2 linked regions of the Coturnix japonica genome follow. The protein of the gene in region 2 interacts with the protein of the main gene of each other region in a biochemical or structural test. Links are inferred from orthologs where the notes say so. Each region holds a gene or a part of one and is shown on either strand. Other genes may lie near its edges.

The links.
Region 1: the proteins of MYOD1 (region 2) and CSRP3 form a complex in vitro, tested with the Homo sapiens proteins (2 studies listed by BioGRID and IntAct, with this or other methods). The link is inferred for Coturnix japonica from reciprocal best matches to the Homo sapiens genes MYOD1 and CSRP3.

Annotation. Positions count from the first base shown.
Region 1 is NC_029520.1:1,435,367-1,445,630, forward strand, and holds CSRP3 (cysteine and glycine-rich protein 3), read right to left. Parts: upstream 5,248-10,264; 5' UTR 5,124-5,247; intron 3,437-5,123; 5' UTR 3,417-3,436; coding exon 3,305-3,416; intron 2,052-3,304; coding exon 1,883-2,051; intron 1,688-1,882; coding exon 1,552-1,687; intron 932-1,551; coding exon 838-931; intron 706-837; coding exon 626-705; 3' UTR 144-625; downstream 1-143. Other genes in the region: transcription factor E2F8, read right to left, coding at 6,289-6,462, 6,860-7,179, 7,324-7,459, 8,119-8,331, 8,652-9,171, 9,432-9,519, 9,882-10,091. UniProt on the Homo sapiens protein: Positive regulator of myogenesis. Acts as a cofactor for myogenic bHLH transcription factors such as MYOD1, and probably MYOG and MYF6.
Region 2 is NC_029520.1:16,193,202-16,203,465, reverse strand, and holds MYOD1 (myoblast determination protein 1 homolog), read right to left. Parts: upstream 4,682-10,264; 5' UTR 4,510-4,681; coding exon 3,949-4,509; intron 2,828-3,948; coding exon 2,749-2,827; intron 2,122-2,748; coding exon 1,868-2,121; 3' UTR 1,427-1,867; downstream 1-1,426. Other genes in the region: ferritin light chain-like, read right to left, coding at 9,670-10,176; uncharacterized protein LOC107314671, read left to right, coding at 7,749-7,806. UniProt on the Homo sapiens protein: Acts as a transcriptional activator that promotes transcription of muscle-specific target genes and plays a role in muscle differentiation. Together with MYF5 and MYOG, co-occupies muscle-specific gene promoter core region during myogenesis.

The sequences.
Region 1 (10,264 bases), about 15 Mb from region 2:
TAGAACTAACAATGTAGATGGAAGCAGTGTAATGAGACAGAATTCTTGCAGTCAAGGAATGGGAGATGAAATTTCCTCCTTGAAATGCAGTAGTCTGTGGCACCGTGGGATGTAAAACACAAGCAAATTGAAGTAAACAGAAATGTGAAGCAATAGGAGCACTTTATTGTAGCTTGAAAATGTACAATAACAAAACTTAAACTCTATATTCTAAGAAGACTTGCTTTATCTTCAGAAGGATCTCCCTTTTAGAGAGGGAATTTCAAATACTTCTAAACTGTGTCAAAGTGAATAATATCTACTCTGCCTTAGAAATAATGTTGAAGTCTTCAAAACACTATGAGGAAACTGGCCTAGATCAAAAGACTCTGACCCTTGTGATTCATAGGGTATCTCTGTCCGAATGGGACAGACTCTTTAAAGTCTGAACTGTGGTAAATACTAGTATAAGAACCTGACTTGATCACTGTACCTTTTTTAAGCTGTTCTAAGAGTTGTCCTGCAAGATGGAAAGTATCTCACGAACGCCCTATGTTACAAGCTGTAGGTGATGGCTTTTGTTTTACTTGACAACTATTATCTGCTGACATCAGCAGCAGATTGACTCTGTTGCATCCGCTTCTTTTCACTCGCATTCTTTCTTTTCCACTTGAGTGAGGCCACCAAAACCAATTCCTTTGGGGCCAAAGTTCTTTGCGTAGCAAACTGCAAAAGAAAGGAAAAGGTAAAGAGTATTGTGAATGCTTCCCTAAGTGGCTTTTGTGATTTGTTGTTATCAAGCAATGCAGCAAGGCAAATCACAACAGCAATATTAGGTCTAAAAGGAATAATTCTTACCTTTACAGTAGAGCTCTCCATCTTTGTCTGTAACGTTTGTAGATTCCAAACTCTTTCCACAGATAGCACAGCGGAAGCATGTTTTGTGCCAAGGCTGAAGGGATGAAGATGGTTTGTTATATTACAGAAGATGCAGAGCTAGTGGATGCAAGGAACAGCTGTTGCTTCTTGTTGTGCGGTGAGGTTAATTTTGTCTTCCTGGGCTTACAAGTTCAGTACTTTTTAGATTAGTTTTAGGATCTTATTTAATGAGCTTCTTGTTGTTGGAACTCTGGTAAAAAGCAGAGAGCTGTAGATAGCGCTCTCCTTGGCCACATCATGGTGTGATAATGAGTAAGAGCTTCTAGAGCAGAGGGCCAGCATATCACAGTGCTGTTTTTTCTGGTCATAGGATCTCTTTAATATATCTGCATTTGCCCCTACAAATCAATGTTTAGATTATAACTGTCCCAAGAGATGTTATAGCAGGATGACAGCAGGAGCCAAAAAGGAAGGGTTGACCCTCAGACCTTAAGATGCAAAATGTTGTAGGCTTATGGAAAAGCATAGCTTCAATGTGACTTGAAATCTGACAGTCAGTACGTTGGATGTTTTGCTTATTCAACCTTATGTTTTCTTCATCAACCAGGCAAAATCTTCAAGGGTTATTAGTTATAGCTAATCAGTGTAGGGGGAAAAGGGTTTGTTTGTATTTTTAGTAACCTTTTTACTTACTTTTCCTCCTCCCATTATCTTCTCTGCAGCGTACACTGATTTGCCACAGCGGGGACATTTATCCACATCAACCACCTTCTTGGCAAACTTGGAAGGGTTAGTTGGTGTAGAAGGGCGAGCAGGCTTTGGTGATCCCCTAAAACACAAGTTTGCTGTGTTAAGGTTGGAAAAGACTGCTAAGATCAACAAGTCCAGCATGGAAAAGACACTGTTACAGAGTCAGGAAATCATTGTGATTGGAAAATACCTCTGTTACAGGGTACCTGAAACAGCCCTGAGTGACAGGTAGCACCAGGCAGACACATGGTGCTGCCATTAGGGTTGGACTCACTGTTGCAGGTTCAGGCCCAGATGGTCCCCAGTGTCAGTGCTGAGACATCCAGCCCCTTGTCCAAATCCAACACCTTTGGGGCCGTATTTCCTCCCGTAGCAAGTCTTACAGTAGATTTCAGATTCATGAGCTGCCACTGTGGTGCTGTCCAGAGCCTTCCTGCAAGCCACTGCCAGAAGGAAGAGAGGCATAAAGGGTAAATATCAGTAGACCTGGGGACAGAATGTGCCGTGACAGTGGCACGCAGTAGAGTGCAAGTTGTACCCTCTATGTCACTGCTTTAAATCTAGACTCTGGTTGAATGGACCTGAAGTCTCTGAGTGCGAGCAGCTGCTTGTCTTGGTAGGCATGTGTCCCTTATCTGAAAGGCATGGATGGCACGTGGAGCCAAGAGCCGTTGCTAAGGCCACTCTTATGTCTGCTGAGTCTCATCAGATGGGTATGGAAGGCAGGTTGATCTCTAAGTTCTCTGCTGTGCTTTGCAGATCTGAAACCTGATCTGCCTTCAATGAGTGGATTCTGTTACCAGGCAAGTGAGTCTCCTTGCTGCGTGCGCCTGGAAACTGAGACACTAATGAATGGGGAGAAAGCAATAGTGACGCTGTGTGTGTTTGGTGTCTGCATACACTGGGAGCTGGGAGTGTGGCAGCCCCCACCCCATCAAGAGAGATGCTCTTTAATTACAGAAGGCCCTTATTTGATTCCTTTTAAACATACAAACTGTGGTCTCTTCAGCTTTGAGATGGTCATTATGTTTGCTGTGGGAGTTAGAGGATGCTGGAAACTTGAGCAGTAAAGTGTTTCTATTTCTGTCATTGTAGGGATAGAGTATCAATTCACTGCAACAGATGGAGCAAAAGCCCTTCAAGTGCTATTGTTGAGATAGCTTTGGGATCTGCCACCTGCCAGCACATAGCTGGCACTGGGGGCTTTCAGGTTGATAGCATGAGGTCCCTGTTATATGTCCATCATGGCTGTGCTGTAAGTAACCTGACAGGGAAACGAGGTAGGCAAACTGTATGGGGACTAAGGTTGGAGGAATGAAATCCCATCATTGATTCACTGCAAAGCCCGTGAACGTGGTATGTGATGCTGAAGGATCCAGTACAAAGCTGCTGATCAGTGTTTGTGAATCAAGGGGAAAGCAAAGCCAATTCACATACCTGGTACTTACCAGCCAGGCTTTGTTGCATCCTTTACTTTTTGACCTTAGACTTCTGCAGGGGATATATTTCTACCATCCTCTATGTTGCTTGGGCTGTCTTAAGACCTACCCTAAACGTCCCATGAGCAAACAGGTTGAGTTAGGCCAACCGTGAGCATCTTCATTGTGTTTCTCCTTGGATGCAAGGCAATGCAAAAGGAAGCATTGCAGGCTGTAATGGAAATAGCTGAATTACGTGGTTTTAAACTTGCACTTACTGCAGAGGAAGCAGGTCTTGTGGAAACTCCTTCCATTGCACTGGATTTCCTCAGCGTGGTACACTGTCTTTTCGCAGGCACCGCATTTGGCCCCACCTCCCCAGTTTGGCATCTTCCTATGTGAAGGGTAACCTAGAGAATCAGACTTGATGAGTAAATCCAATAGAAAAAGGTGGTACTTAACTTTATTTCCTTTCAACTGCTATTGCCAGGTAGCCCCTAGGGAGGATCTGCTTCCTTAGCAATGGCAGTTTTCTCTGTCAGTGTGACATCCCACCATCCAGTTCATATCTGAACCAGTTCCACTGTGAAGCTGCACAGATACAGTGTGCTTACTGAGGATGCTGTCATGGAACCACGTTGGTCACTGAGCTTCGTGACTGCTGTTATAAAGTAGTGACCCCTTCCTAAGGGGCTTTTATTTGTCCACTGTTAGAAATCTAAAAGTCTGATGGTGAGAGTGTTGTGTTTCCTATTCCAGTGCCTATGGAAGTGACTTGCCCAAGGTCGTGTGAGGGAGCAGCATGAGAGCCAGCAGCTGAGCTCGGGTCACTGGACTGTGCTGGGTAAGTGCCCTGATATTGTGCTATCACGCAGCTGGAGCAGCCACAATCTGCGCTTTGCTCTTCTGGTTTGAGTCATTGTTTCTGGAAGGTCTGTGCCGTCATCTTGTCATCTGCACGTCCCGTTATCAGGATGTTGGAGCTCCTGGCTCAGGCCGCCTCTGTCCTTCTTGGAAAACCAGTCACTTTCTTATTATAGGTCTTTCAAAGTCCTGTTTGGATTTGATTAAACCCACTACGGGGTGTTCTGAACTAAGGGAAGGACTTTGAACTCTGGCTCAAGCCTGAAATTTTCTTTAGTTGCCATGTATAAGAGTGGGGTTTGACACAGCAGCAATGTAACATAGAAGCTACTGAAAGCAGCTTCAGTTTTACCCTGCCGTTAAGCTGTTTCAGACTCTATCAGTCAGTTCCCTCACTGCTCTGACAGCTGTGAAGCGCTAATGATGTGCGGGAGAGAAAAATCCAGCTTGCCTTGAGCTGTGCTTATCTGCAGTGGCAGAAATGCGATGGAGCTGTATGGAAGGAATGGGTTATGCATTTGTTTCCTTCTTCCTCAGGAATGCTGTGGAATAACACCATTGAAGCCTTTCTCCCATTTCTGATAGGGAGCCTTGTGCTGTTACAGGCTGTGGTTTATAGACCTCTTAGAAGAACCAGGGCTCTTGAGCTAATTATGGTAACATGACTGGGTGTGCAGGCACATTTTCCATGCTGCTTTGGCATCACCTGATGGGGAGCCATAGGAGTAAGTCACAGTGAAACCCCTTCTATGAGGGTCCTGGGATGTGCCCTGTAGTCCTGCTTTAGTCATAGAGTGAGATGTCCTGCATCAGTTATAAGTATAAAGATAAGAATTGCTTCTGTAATAGACAGCAGTGATGCCAAATGAAACGGCTGCTGGCACCTCTAAAACCCAGAATGTGCTGATGTTGGAACTAAGTATTTAGTTATGACTTAACAAATAGCAACAAACCGACCTAAAACCCACCCCTTTCCTCCCAGCATCATTTGATTCTTTTGGAAACCAAGTCCTGCAGCACAAAGGAGCCGTTCCTTTGTTCAGACCTAATGCTGTGCTATCAGCTTTGCCTCTTCTTCCACCACATCCTTCTCTCTGTGTTCCTGCACTGAGTCTAAGCCATCACAGCTGAGCTCAGGCACAGTATTCTGTACACGTTCGTGCTATTTCTATTGGGGAAAAAGACCCAAACCCTTCTATCAAATGCCAGCAGAACCCCACGTGCTGTACTTACGGTGTGGCTTGGTGTTTCTCCCTCTTCTCTTAAGCCTCAAAGGATTTGAACTGGAGGGGTTCCTGTGCTCTTTAAAGGCAGGGGCTGCCGCTGCTGGCCCTATAGGCAGGGAGGGGAGGGGAAAGAGGAGAGAGCTTTGGGGATCAGAGCAATGCCATTGCTATCACCAAGCTGAAAATAGCTGCTGACAAAAGCCTGGCATTTTGTTCCCTTGTGTCCACTTGTGAGTAGGTGGACAACAATGCGGCCCCTCAGATGACACCTACGGCGCATTCCTGAGCGCAGCCTAATGGATCAGAAATAAAGATGAAAGCTCGATGGATCGGTGCTTGGATGTGGAACATAAGGAGCCTGAAATGAAGGTTTAGTCATAGTCATGTTGCCAAAGATAATTTACCAAAACAGTGATAAATATATGTGTGTATATATATACATATGTGTATATGCAGGACTCCCTCCTGCTGGATACTGCCCTATGTGACAGTGAGTATCCCTCATTCAGAAAGCCAGATCAAGTTCTTTACGCCCCTTGCTGATTAAACACCATTTTCCCCTTCTATAGAATCCTTCTTTGACCAAAAAACCACCATTCAGCGTACGACATATTACAGCAACACCAGTCATTTAATTCCATTCAACAAAAAAAAAAGTCAAAATGAGTTGGATGCAATTTTTTTGTCTGAACAAATTATTTTTACAACGCAGTATAAATAATTCTTAACTTATATAAAAACTTAATTTTTTTTGTTAAAGATTTTTTTTTTCAAAGCTAACCTTATAAAAGAGGAGCAGCTGAACACAGGAGCACAAGAAATCCTAACTACGGCCTTTAAGGGAAGCATTAAATATGTACAGGCTCACAGTACTTTCTCTGTGCAAAACATGCACTGATTGATAGACGGTACCTTTCTGTACAGACACTTTCAGTTTACTTTGCATAGCAGAAGAGCAACGCAGAATGAGATACAAAACTCAGTTGCTTTAGAAAAGCCTTGTGTAAAAACACTTAGCCTGAACTTCCATAGTAAAGCCAGTTTGAATTCTACAGCGTTCAGGCTATTCCAGTATCGTTGTCTTGCCAATCACATCCAAAACACATCCCATGTGCATTGTGCTATATCAGTAATTACACTGCTAACACAGCCGGCGATTTGATGCCCAAAGATCAGTTTTCTGGCACTTCAAGTTTTCGTTGAGCAATGTGTGAGGTTCCTTGAGGGGTTGTGTCGGTACCACCTGAGGTTGCAGACAGTGACGGGGTTGTGTTTGGTCCTCCTGGTGTGCGGAAGAAGTTTTCTGTCACTGGCTGAGGCTCCGGGGCTTCCTTTGGCACAGGGGGCTAAAAGAAAAGGGAGAGATCAGTGTCAGTCCATTCTAGTTGTAGGTATGTGCAGAATGTTAGCAAACACATTTCTTCCTATCTATCAGCAATGTGGAGAAGAGCATCCTTTTCTTTGCTATACATCTATATACCCATATATATATATGTTAATAAACTGATTTGTTTTATCTCCTTTCACTTCCAACTGTAGGCAATTCAGCACTACACAAACAGCTGACAGAAGGCAACAAGCAGTTTATAAGCATGTGTCATTTCTTATCCAGCGTCCTCTCCAAGGCTCCTCACACCTTGTCATCCTTCAGTTCCTCCAGCTGGCTCCACTTTCTCATCAAGTAAGATATTATTATTTCTCACTCAACCTATGGTTTAGCCATTGCAATACGTTGCTTCTTACCTTTTCCTCTTGTAAGGTCGCGTTTTCTGAGCTACTACGATTAGTGCTTTCTGGTTTTGATAGGATTGGGATGTGCTGAAGAACGGGGTTTGCAGGGACTTGCACACCAGCAGGCATCACTCCTATGTGCTGCAGTGTAAAGTTCAGAAGTGAAGAACTTGGGTTTGGGACTGAACTGTTACTGCTAGAATTGAGGTGGGAGTTGTTCAGTACAGGTGCAGCAGCTATAGAAGCTGGTGACAGCATGATGTTCAAGGACGTTATATGAAAAGCCGGAATGTTAACTGCTTTCATTTCAGATGCTATCATTGGAATGACACCTGAAACAGAAAAAAACAAGCGTTGGAAGGATTGAAAATTGAAAGTAGAGGCCTTGCATTGTGATTTCACAGCTCTGGTAGGATGACTTTGACTTACAATCCTTCAAACCGAGCATCTGTGTGTATATATCCCTTGGTACTCACCTGCAGTGGGTGAGCTGTGGGTAGTGGTGTGCTGCACAGAACATATCCCAGCTTTCTCTCTATTAGAAAGAGCTGCCTTGTTGCTATGGTGAGTGCACTGAGTTAGAGGGATAAGGTACCCAGATGGAAAAAAGGTCTGAAAAAGACAATACACATTTACATCAAAGGTGCATGAAAAATATAAGCTTTTCTTCAAAATCACACTCCCCTTGCCGCTCTCTTATCCTATATCCCTCATAATCCCCAAGGCTTGGGATAGTCCATGCCTATACTGGCTCCCATCTGAAACTGGACTCAGTTTGACTCATAGCTGTGCTCTAAAAGTCCTCATCCACACAAGTCATTCAGCTTCATTCTCAGATACCCTTATGTGGATTTCTTTATTTTCTTTTAAGAAGAATGGTGGGTTTTACTGCATTGCTGGTGGACATCAAAGCATTGTGAACTAAATATTTATAAAAAACAGTCTAGGACAGTATGAGATCTCAGTATCGCTTCCATCTACTTAGTTATCTTCATCCTCTTCAATACCTTTATTGATGACCTGGATGAAGGGCATCGAGTGCACCCTCACTAAGTTTGCAGATAACACCAAACTGGCTGGGAGTGTGGATCTGCCTGGGGGTAGCGAGGCCCTACAGAGTCTTTTTTTTCTAAAGCATTCTGCATAGTAATGCAACTAAAGGCAAATCTATATATGTGTAGTGATTCCAGTTCCGTTTCCTTTGCAGATTGTTCCACGTGGTCTTTTCCCAGCTAACAGCAAGAACTGCTGTGCTGTGTGGCAAAGCTCACCTCATGAGCAGGAATGGCAAATGCTACAGGTAGGTCCTGTTTAGCTTTGGCTCTGTCCTCATCTTCTGGAGCACATTCTCTTTTGTATTGCTCAGAACAACTTTCCACGCTTTGATCTTCAGATCTGCTCTGTTTCTCTTCCTGGAAGTTGTCCATTTCGTTGTTGGTTTGTGAGCCGATGGAAGGTGGTCTTTCGTGTTTATTGAGTTCTCCCTTTAAAAGAAAACAGGCACTGTAAGAGGCACGGCTATCACAGTACATCTGTAATTAAGAAGGTCACATGTTTTATGAATCAGAAAAGCAGAGTTTCTCCTGATTTCATGGCAGTTTTGACAAGCACAATTTGAAGCAGCCTAATAATTTACAGACATGGAAGCATCTGGCAACTGAGGAGTGGAAAATTATCCAGACCCCGTTTCTTCATGTGCATCAAGTGTATCTGAACCTCCTATTCTCTTTGTGTATCATGTTAACTCCACATCATATTGACACCACCACTAGGTTATAAACCAGACAGACAGAAATTGACTTACCACAGCAGTTTCAAGGCTTTCCTCATCACTTCTACACTTTTTAATCAAGTTATTCTCTTGTAGTGCTTGAGATCTCTTAAGGCACCTCTTTGATGAAGACTCAGGCTCTATAACTGGTCTTTCTTCAGCTGCCGTGGCCTTTCCTGCATCAGCTGCGGCTGTGCAATTGTCCCCTTCCTTGGCGGTCATTTCACTTAATGCTTTTGGATGAATACTTTTAATTCCTGTCACATTAGCACACGGTAGAGGCTGCAACATGAAGCTTGGGCTGTACGCTGTCACAGCGTGGGCTTGAGAAGGATGCACATATACTGCATAGGAGGCACCAGAATGAGGCTGAGGTAGGATCACTGGTGATGCTGAGCGGTGGCTCGGAGGCAGGGCACCCAATGGCTGAGTGAGAAGCAATTTTGGAGGGGGTGCAGCAGTGTGAGTGTTGGCCTTGGGAGCTGCCTCAGGCCAGGGCAGACTGTGCTCCAAAGCAGATCCCAACACGTTATTTTTCATGTCTTTTGGTCTCCTTAAAACAAGAAAAAAGTCAAAATGCATAGTTTAGTGTTTTCATGCAGAAATGTCCTGTGTAATTATTTTTTACCTTACAAAGTCAGTGTGAATTTGTATGTCTTGATGAACCGAACAGAAAGCTCCAAGTGAAACCATAGCCAGGAGCAACAGAGGTTACAGGTTTTTGCAGATCACTGCCCAACTCAAATTAAGCAGAGATTGAACTTAACAGTCAGTGACAAAAAGCTTCCAAACATGACACTTGCGCAAACTTACTTTGGTGGTTCTTCCAGCTGATATTGAGGAACTGCTGCGAGCTGAGACACTTTACTTGTATAAGCTGATACGTTTTCATCTGTACCTGCTTCAAGGGAGAAAACAAAACCAACAGAACTGATAACGTATCCTAATGTTTAAGTGTAATTCTATCTTGAGTCTGCATTATTTCTACTTTGTTTCTACTAATTGCAGAGCTGATTCTCGGAACATGTGTTACATTTGTTCCCACTATCAGTCTCATAAAGCTTCAAGATTTACAGACAACATACACTTCATTTCCCCCCATCTTGTTTGTTTCTGACTTGTTCAAACAACAGGTGTTTTAACTTATTCACTCATCCACATCTTCTATCAGAAGGCAAGTCTGTATATTTAGTACAAGACTCCACATTCAAGTGAAAAACATGACTAGAAAGAGAGAGACAAATAAAGTTTTCAGCTACATACTTGGGCTTATTTTAACTGGGCTGGTTGGAGCAGATTGGATCTTCCTTCTGTCACTTTCTATGCTTTTAACTAACTTGATTAGGGAGGGATGCCGAGTGAAGTTCTGCTTTATTCTTGAAGGAAAAAGGTTTTTTGAGCATTGCTCCTTGGAATTGGTGGGTTCTGATATCTGTGAGATGCAGGGTGCGGATGTTGTTTCAAGCCTTGTATCTAAAAAGAAGAACAAATAGAAGAGTTTGTATAGCGTATATATATATTCAAATATAATATTAAATGTATTCAGTAATTAAAAGCAATTATTTGAGCGTGAATTATAACTATTGAAGTATCAGACACTGGCAAAAATGGAAACACAAGTCTCAGCATAAGAACATAAACTATGA
Region 2 (10,264 bases):
AGCTGGATGTTAGCTAAGGTGCTGAGGGGGCAGTCCTGCCCCAGCCTCTATGACCAGCCAAGTTCAACATGCCTGCACAGCAGCCCTGTGTCCTCTGTGCCCTCATTCATCATCCACCGTGGTCACCACTGCACACCACGAGGGAGCCCATGAGTTGCTTCTCTCTTTGAGGAGCTGCTCCTCCTGTTGAAGAGGTACAAGCTGCACAAATTCCTTCAGTACTAATCACCTAAGGGAGAATACAGTGACTGATCTGTCATCAAATGTTTAGAGCTGATGATGGTATCTGTTGTTTATTTGTTTGACTGTTCTTTAAACAAGAACCACAGCAATGTGACAAGGAGCAGGTTGTTGTGTGTGGGCTCCAGCAACTGGCTGTTCTAGTCCAAATGTACACATACACCCTGATACTTTCTTATCAATGACAATCTGCTTAGAGCTTCATGTTTTTCAGTTTTGTGGCAAGCTTGCAAGGTTACATGTATACACTGAATGAAACATACCCCACCAGTTATTTTTAGAAAGGCTCTAAACAAGAAGCAAATCCCTGGAGCAGTGCTGCCAGAGATGCTTAAAGTTCAAATCCAAATTAAAACTGCCAATCTTGGGCTTAAATTCCAACCTGAACTTGAGGAAAACTCTGATCTGTACCTTGAACTTTGTGACAGAAAGCTACTTCTAAGTCTTTTCTAGTACCTGAGTGTATATGAATATGGTATAGGCACTTAAAATTACATCTTGAATGGAAAATCTGTATATTTGATTGGGAATGTAGTACCTGATCTTGCAAAATGTCATCGTAAGGCTTTAACTTATAATTTAATTTATAGTAGCTACAATGGAATCTCGAGAGTCTAATTTATTAGGACTCCCACTTCTATCACAGCTTTGTAAGCTCTAGTCATGTAATAGTGAACTTGGGGGAACAAGACAAATATGCTTAATTTACCTCACAGACATTCTTAGTGAAGACCACTGACACATAAGACTTGGTTCAGAACTCACTGGGATACCACAGGAAGAAAGTCGACCCCTTTTCAGCAATGCCTTTGCACAAAGTAACTGAATGTAGCGCAGCTGAAGCAAGCACTTGATTTCTTTGCTGAATCAGAGCCTGTATCTTCTTCCTGCCAAGGCAGCGATCTTAACACTGCTCCTAAATGCACCAGTAACTCTAGAGGCTCTAATGAAAGTCAAGATAATGCCACAGATTTTATAAATAAGGGTCTTTATTTAGAATACTGTTGAAAACATTCTTGGCAATCACATCGTATAAATATATAAAGTTAAAGTTTGGCACAACAAACCAAGCAACATTAAATATATATTTTTAAAATTTTTCCTATTTTTGTTTTGTTTTTAATTTTAGCTTTTGTTTCATTTTTTCCCTTTTTCTCTCCTTTTTTTTTTTTTTTTTTTTTTTTTTTTTTTTTTTTTTTTTTTTTTTTTGCAAAGCAACTCTTATTTACAATTATACAAAAAGTTTTATAAAAAATGGTCCACAACCTTATTTTGGCCAGAACAGGGGTAATAAGAAGAAGGATCTGTCATGCCACAGCTGTTGTAGATTTCTCTTCTCCTCCATATTCAAGAGCCAGGTTCCTATTCTCCAAAGCCCAGATTAAACATTGGCCATTTCCCCGTATATGCTTTTATCTTTAGACATATTAAATAACTTCAGTTTAACAACCAATAAATAACTAAGTGTATTTTGCAGTAATACAGGTTTGAGAAGTTATAGAAGGAATTTTGCATGATACTTTCAAACTGGAACAAGCCATGAAGTCCTTTCTGTTTTAGAAAGCAGGTCTTGGAGCATGGTTGAACGGAGCAATTTGTTCTCGGCGCAGTCCGGCTGGACCTGCCTTTATAGCACTTGGTAGATTGGATTGCTGCTGCTGCTGCTGTCCTGGGGAAGCGGGGTGCAGTTGGTGGGGGAAGGAATCTGGGCTCCACTGTCATTCAGGCTTGCTCCTTCCTGGGGGGAACAGGGACTCCCTTCAGCAACAGCTTCAGCTGGAGGCAGTATGGGACATGTGGAGTTGTCTGTGGAAATCCTCTCCACAATACTTGAAAGGCAGTCGAGGCTGGAAACAACAGAACTCTTCCCATGCTTTGGGTCTGAAAACAAAGGCAAATGTGATCCATTTACCCACTGTGTACTTATATCATAGGATGTAGTTCTTTCATAAAGAAATGAAAAGCCCACTAAGTGGCTGAAGTGCACATCTGAGAGCATGCAAAGAATCAGAGGAAATGGGTATGAGTGAAGGATGCCAGTTATCAGGAAATGGATTGCAATCTGTGAAACAGAGGAGAGACCCAAGTGAAACAGGCTGCTATTCAGGGAGGGTGGATCCAGGGCTCTACTTCAGTCCTCAGAAAAGGAATGGAAGACTGGAATTCCATCAGGCATCTCTCCAGTTTGGATCAATGATACCTGGTTAGAACAGGCTTCAGGCAAAATGGGGTTAAGACTAAAAATCAGCAGCAGAGAAGGATGTGTTCCTAGACACTCTATTTGTAAAATGGGAAATGCAGATATAACATATCCCCTGCACTTGCAAATACATTTACATGAAATCCAGTGCTTCTGCCAGCCTCAGCAGCTCACTGGCTGGACAGGCAGGCTCCTTCCCCAGCCTGGCTAAGTGACTGGGGATGGAGAAGGCCATGGGGAGGCTACGGCAATGGCTGACCCCATCCTCCGTGCTTCACATAGACATATTCTCAACAGTAGATACTCACCATTTGGTGATTCTGTGTAGTAGCTGCTGTCATAACTGTTTCTCCTGCGAGAGCTGCAAGGCGGCCCGCTGTACTCCATCTGGAAAGGAGAATAATCTGAGTGAGGCTGGAGGGCTGCCTTTTCCACAGGTCCAGGAACCATCTGATCTTGTATTTCAGTAGCTAATCTGTGCAATCGCTCTCAGCTGAAATGCTGTCAAGTTTGTGTTGTAGAATGAAGCAGACAGAATTAACTTGCCAAAAAAAAAAAAAAGGAATGGATTTACACCAGAATGTGTAAATCCATGCTTGTTCCAAAGGCAAATTACCACCATTGCTATGACAGAAGCTGTGGCTTTACCAGAGATGAGGTTTTCCAGCAAACTCATCAGTACTGCCCTACGTGTATGGTCAGTTTAGGAAAGGAAGCTCAGGAGAGGAATTCTTTTGATCTAACTTTGGAAGACTTTTCCAAACCTGAGTTCCTCTGAGAAAGCCGCTACTCTACCTTTGGATTTCCTGCAGTTTCCCTTCTTACTCTGGTTTTGTAAAGAAAGACCGCCAAATCCTGACCAATATATTTCTGTTCAGTATGTGAATCTACAATGAAAAGGCTGCATTTTGAGGAGCGGATCTTTCTGTAACTCTCTCCCACCTGCCAACTATTTCACAGTCCCAAGAACTCAGCTCAGTGATTATTATCCCCACTAGAAAAAAAAATGCAGAAGTGTCCTTGTGGTCCTGTTCTCGGCAACAGTCCTGCAGCCACCCTTGTCCCCTCCCCATAACCCAAGGCTCTAAGCCTGGACTCTTTTTCTTGCTGGTAAATGTCTGCAGAGGGGTCAAGTGAGAGGAGAGCTGGCCTTCTTAAGGGTCAAGGAAAACAACTCCTGTTACTTGGGCCATCCTCCTGTTATCCCGATGAATGATAGAAAGCAAACACTATGCTTGACCAGTTGCCCTGCACGTTTTCCCCTGCAATTTCCACACCCAAGGGGACCTGCCTCACTGCTGTCCTTTGAGGGACAGACAGCAGAGCATGAAATCAGAGGTGCCTGGAGGCCATTGTGTTTGCAGGCACACAGGGACTGCCTAACCTTCCTCCCAGGAATCTAACAGACTTCCCTTCTCTTCCCAGAGACCTGGCGTGTGGGGACCCTGCTTCCCTCTGCTGCTGAACTATGAGGAGGAAGGACCTCATCTCCTGCCCAGGGCACTCACCATGCCATCGGAGCAGTTGGAGCGAGGGCTGGAGGCATCTGACTCCCCGCTGTAGTGCTCCAGCACTGGGTAGTACGCATCCTCCTGCTCGCGCAGCAGGGCCTGCAGGCTCTCGATGTAGCGGATGGCGTTCCTCAGGATCTCCACCTTGGGCAGACGCTGGTTGGGGTTGGTGGAGGTACAGCGCTTGAGGGTCTCGAAGGCTTCATTGACCTTGCTGAGCCGCCGCCGTTCCCTCATGGTGGCGGCTTTGCGGCGGTCAGCATTGGTGGTTTTCCTCTTGCAGGCCTTGCATGCCCACAGCAGGCAGCGGCCGGCCTGATGGTGCCCACTGGGTGCCCGCACATGCTCCTCCTCGTGTGGGTGCCCGTGGTGGTGCCCGTGGTGGTGCGGGTGCTCCTCAGGCTTCAGCAGCCCACCCACGTGCACCAGCCGGGGGTCCAGGTCCTCGAAGAAGTGCATGTCCGATGTGTTGAAGCACGGGTCATCGTAGAAGTCGTCAGCGGCCGCGAAGGAGCAGAGGGAGCCCTCCGTCATTTCCATGGGGCCCAGTAAGTCCATGGGGGCGATCGGGAATGCGGAGCGGGGCGAGAGGGTGGTCGGGGGGCGCGGGGGGGTCCCGAGGGTGTCTGTGCAAGGCAGGCAGGGAGTGGGGTCCTCGCACCCTGTCCCAGGCGAGGCCACCGGCGCGGGTTGTAACTGCTGGCACCACCACCACCGCCGACCCCTCCCCAGCCGCACCGCCTCGGGAGCGCCGCTCGGGGCCGTATTTATGCCGGAGCCCCCGGCGGGCCGGGGCGGGGCGCGGCGGGGCGGGGAGGGGGCCGCGGCTAACGGAGCCCCCGGAGCCTCGGCCCCCTGCGGGGGGGAAGGGGGAGTTGCGCGCGGCGGCGCGGGGAGGGCCGAGCGGCCCTCGGGTGCCGGATCCCCGCTCGCCGGAGGGACGGCCGCGGCCGCACGGTAACGGCGGGGGCGTCCGCGACGGAGCCGGGAGCGGGGGACGGCGCGACGAGCCGGGGCGGCGGGGCGAGGACAGCGACGGGGTCGGGGCTGCGGCGCGGCGCGGCCGCCTGCAGGGGGGAGTAGCGGCCCGCGGCCGTCGGCGGAGCTCGGGGAAAGCGGAGGGAACGGGAGCGAACCGCCCCGTCGGAGCTGCGGGAAGAGGCTCCGGGCCCGACGGGCGGCTCGCGGAGCGCCGCGTCCTTCGCCCCGCAGCGACGCGCCGGGGCTGCTGCCGCGTGCTTTCTGACGGCGCTCGGGCGCGTGACGCCGCTCGGGAGCTGTTCTGTCAGAACCCCAGCGGAGCGCCCGCACCACGAGGTGTGAGGATGGGGACGGGTGCCGCCATCGACGGGTCGTGCCCCGGAGCTGCGAGGGGTCGGGCGGGGCTCGGGCACGGTTATCGGAGCTTGGCCTGAGGCACGGGGCACCGCGACTGCGGGAAACGCGCGGCTCCTGGGCTGAGTCGTGCGGCCGTGGTTCTGCTGTGACCCACCTGAGTTACAGTAAGTGACTCTTTGCACCTCGGCTCAGATGTGTACGTTTGCGATTCAGGTTCCCCTTTGAACTCGAGGCTCAGCTTACCTTAATTCCAAAGCCTTTGAAGAGATTGACATTACGTCGCGAGTGGCATTGTGCCGCACGTGTAACCACACTGCAGTCCAATTGCTTGTGCAATAAGAGTGCAATAAGCTTTCTTGGGCAGAAAGCTGTGGCAGAGTTGGGGATATGGAAGAGTTGTGTGGCTTTGGTAACATCTCTCAAGGCTGCTGGAATCTGGGTTTGGAATATCACTTGAGCTGCAAAGTTCAGGTCTTTCTCCAGTACTGAAGTACTGCAGCACTTCTGCTGTGTGATTTCATTAACTTTATGATTAAGGGATTAATGGACACTTTTAATCTCCTGTTCTGCAGTTATAAATGCTGGTGACATTCGGACTCCTTTAAAATCAAAGACAAAGCTCGCTCTGCAGCAAAGCTGAGAGCATCTCAGAAGGTGATGGAACATCAGTTGGGTCCATGGTCCCGACGCCTGTGGCAGCTCAGATGGGCTGTCACCACAGCGGATTCTTCTGTTGTTCTGTCATTCAGTTTTTTATTGAGTCTAGATAAAGGTAAGAATTGTTAGTCACATTCTGTCATTACCCCAAAGATTTATTTATTTATTTATTTAAGTAGATGTTTTGGGCTCTGTACAAGTTTGTTCTTTCACTGTATCCAGAGCAGCTATTGATCAGCCCTACACATGCAGAAGTGTATCTCCCAGCTGTTCTGAGGCAGAGCAGCAAGCTCATGGAAACACTCCACTGTTATCATAGAGGCTCTTTGATCTGGAAGCAGAGAACAAGAATGTTTGTTTTAACCTTTATAGAACAGCTAAAGTAAAAATAACTTGTATTCAAAACAATGTTTTGTATACTATAAGACAAAACAAGTAGAAATGAGAAACATTGCATGGTTTAACAGCTGTGCATTGGCTGTCGAGCATTGGTGCTGGCCTTGCTGACCCACTCAAAACAATGGAACTTTGCTCAGGTCATTGGTTTAATTAGTGGAAATGCTAATTTTGCTAATATTTACTTAAAGCTACAGCGTCATCTGCCACTGTGAGTGTGCATCTAGGTTGTATCTGACCCCAGGAAAAGGCATTTGAGGACTGGCACGCGCAGTGGTTAATTTGGGCAGAGTGGCAACAGATGGTGAGACTTGGACAGGCAATACTGGGAGTCTGCCAGTAATTGCCTATGAATGCTCGGAAGTGCATGAGCTCACCTAAGTGGAAAAGTCAGGAGAAAGCCATGACCAGCTGGTGAGTTCTGCTCAGAATTGTCTTGCAGTGAAGCTGCCCTTGAGCAGCTTCAACTTGCTTTAGCAGGGGGTTGGACTAGATCATCTCCAGGCCCTTCTGGCCTCTGATTCTGTGAGGATGCGTTCCTTGCAGCTGGCACCAAAACTCAAATTGTCTTTCTAGCATTTTGCCCAAGGATAGTTTTGTCCGTATAGATGTTATGGGCCAGAAACAAGTCTTTGCAAAGAATAGTATTGCAAGATGCTCTTCTCAATTTTGTGCGGCCAGAGAAGAGGAAGGATATGGCACTTGAAGAGACTTGAAGTGAATTCCTCACTCTGATTGCAGACAGCAGCTATCTCCCTTTCCATACAACCACAGGAATTTCTTATGGCAGCATTTAGAAATGCACCATTTTTGATTCCTGTTTCAAAGCCTCTGTTGCTGTGACTCATAATTTTAAGTAAAGAATAGGTCTCTTCAGAGCTTCCAGTTTGAATGCTATATTTACTGCAGCGATGTTTCTGCAACTGTTCTGGATAATTTGGGCTTTGCTTTGTAAGAACAGATACGGAGTACATGTATGACAGCATTCAGCAGTGGAAGAGTATCTGTACAGTTGCTTTAAATGCTGTTGACTTTATACCTGTTTGTTTCACACTGATCCTACATCTCATTTTGTCAGGGCATGGTTGAAATGAAGCTGAGAAGAGAGTTGCAGGTTGTACTTCCTGCACTGCGAAGCATGGAGAGGATCATCCTGTACACAGTGGATGGGTTCTGCTGACAGAGATCACAGACACACATGCCTCACAGCACAAGCGTCACGTGGACAAGAAAAGCTTTGGTTATCTACAGTAACTGATTTTTTCTTTTTCAGAGGATACACTGGGAAAACAGCTGATGGTGAGATTACCTAGAATTAATAGAACTGTCTCTTCAGGCAGAGTCCAGAAAGTATGTTGGAAGAGAGAGAATAAAGGCCTAAAATCTGAAAAAGTACAAAGATAAAGATGAGAAGAGTCTCTGAGAAGCACATATGGCAGTATTTCTGGGGAAAAGAAGCAGCAAGTAAGTCTTACATTGAAAAGTTTAAATGTTGGGCTCCTTGTTCTGTTTGAATTCATTTAAGGTCTTCAGTGCTTGAAACCAATTCCTGTATTGTAGGCTAGCAAATCTTAAAGAAGACTGTTGTATATCAAACATTGCCTGTACTAGCTATGTGGCACTAGCTAATAACCCAACTAGCAGTTTTTCTCCATTCATACTTAGTGAGCTATGTATTAATACTGAGAAGAACGGATTCCATTGCTCTTATTCATGTTGAGTTGCAGTCAGTGGAACTAATTGTTGAATAAGGTATGCTCAGCGTGAAGGTGGGTGTTGGAATCCGGCCCAGATGGAAATATCTGTTAAACTACTGCTGTATTTGAGAGCAGCCACCCCAAACAGACAAATCCAGCATGTTGCTAAAAGCTTTTCAAACCATTCTTGTGGCACAATGCAGTATTTTTGCTGGAGAATACAGGAGATGTTTTAAAGTAATTTTCCCCAACTAAAAGACAAAAAAAAAAAAAAAAAAAAGTTGAGTCATTGCACTAGAAAGATGGGGAAAGCATCAGTGCTGTAATCATCTGTCATGTTGCAACACTAACAGAAATTAAGTGCTCTAAACAGCTTTACAGAAATGGGTTATTAACTGCAGCGGTGTAAGGGAGTCACAAAGCACTTACTGAAAGTGTGTTATTGTGCTTCTTTGTCACCTTAATACAGTCTTCTGGCATTTATTTTCATTCTGTGGTCTACTGCTTTCATCTTTAAATTCATCTGTGCAACTTTCTCGATCACAGCTAAGTACTGGTGTCATTTCATAGACGCACACAAAATCTCTTGGAAAGTACTGTCACGCTTGTAATATAAAATGAGGAATACAGCATAAACGCAAAGTACCATTTTTTACTATGGAACTGAATTTATTTTCAAACATTATAGAAACACTGTCTGTAATGTTACATAAAAGTAAGAATCTTTCAAGGAAGCAAACCCCAATTGCATAAAAATGTGGTATATAACATGTAAAACCCAATGCACAACCTAGCTGCAGGCAGCTGAGCTAGCCAGCTGGTCTTCCTAGGTGATCCTTGGTAGCCAGTATAGAGAAAGAGAGGCACTCCTGTAGGAGGTGAATGGAAGGAATTTAGAATCACAGAATATCCAGGGTTGGTAAAGACCCACGAAGATCATTGAGTCCAACTCCTGACTCCACACAGGACAATATAAGAGCTAAACCACGTGCCTAAGAGCATTGGTCTTATTCCTGCCATTGAGGAAGTGTTTGCATCCTTCATCTTGGAGAAGTACACAAACAAAGAAACAGCTGGGTTGTAAGTGAATGAATTGGACTACTTATTTTAACTGCTACTATGATAGAAATAAGCAAATAATGCCTAGTTTCAAAGCAAGTCTTTTAAAAAATTCATTACATTGTATTAGTATACTGATATAAAATTTCTAATATAAAATATCTGATATTATAAAACTAAATCTTTGGGTTTTCTCCCATATATGTGCTTCTTTTTATTTAAGTTCTTTTTGTTTTTAATAAAAGTTGTATATATTGCTAAAATAATTTGCTTAAGCTAATCCTATAGTTTAAGACAGAAGAGGCCTAGATGCTTTTTGTTTCTAGGAAGAATTGCATAGATAAAAATGCATTGAATTCTGTCAGCTTTGGTAACTAGCGGCCTTACTGGCATTTAAAGAACACAATGGAATGGGCTGGATTTTGAGCTGTGGCTCTCATGAGGATGAAGGACAGAGTGTAAAGAGGGAGAAGTGATAAAGCATCATGTCTCCCAAATTCCAGTCTCCAGGCCAGCCTCCTCTGTACAGGTCTGCCTTCAGAGCTGGACCACAGTGATAAGAGCCACAGCATTAAAGTACCTCCCTCCCCTGTTTCATTTTTGCTCCTATCCCATCATTATTACACTGTGGCAACGTGGCAGTGCAGTGTATGGTTGCATATATTGGCCCTATGCTGTTCCCAAGCTGGGAAAATTCTTTCTGTGGTCGCTTCAGACCCTCTGAAGCTCCTGCACACTGCTGGAGAGGCGGACAGGGGCTGCACTGCTGACTAGAATCTGGCTCTATACTTGTTCTGAACTCTTTCTGCAACCGGTCCATAAAGTAATCCCCAAGACTATTTCTGCCATCTTGGGAACAATCAAGCCTGCGAGCATTGGTCAGGAGATCTCCCATCATCTTGATCTTCCGGATTTTGGGTTCGATAAACTGTTTCTTGATAGTGCTTGCGCTATGAGGGTCTGCGTTTTCAATGCTTAGGGCATAAAGCTCTTCAAAGTACCGTGTCAGAGTTTTCCACTGCACCATAGCTAGTTCCAGAGCTTTCATCAGACCGACAGCATAGTCACAGTTTGGTTTCTAGAAACAAAGACAGAATTACATTTATTCAGTTTATTCAGAAGAACAGCTCATCTGACCGCATTTACAATTTTCCTGCAACTTCCTC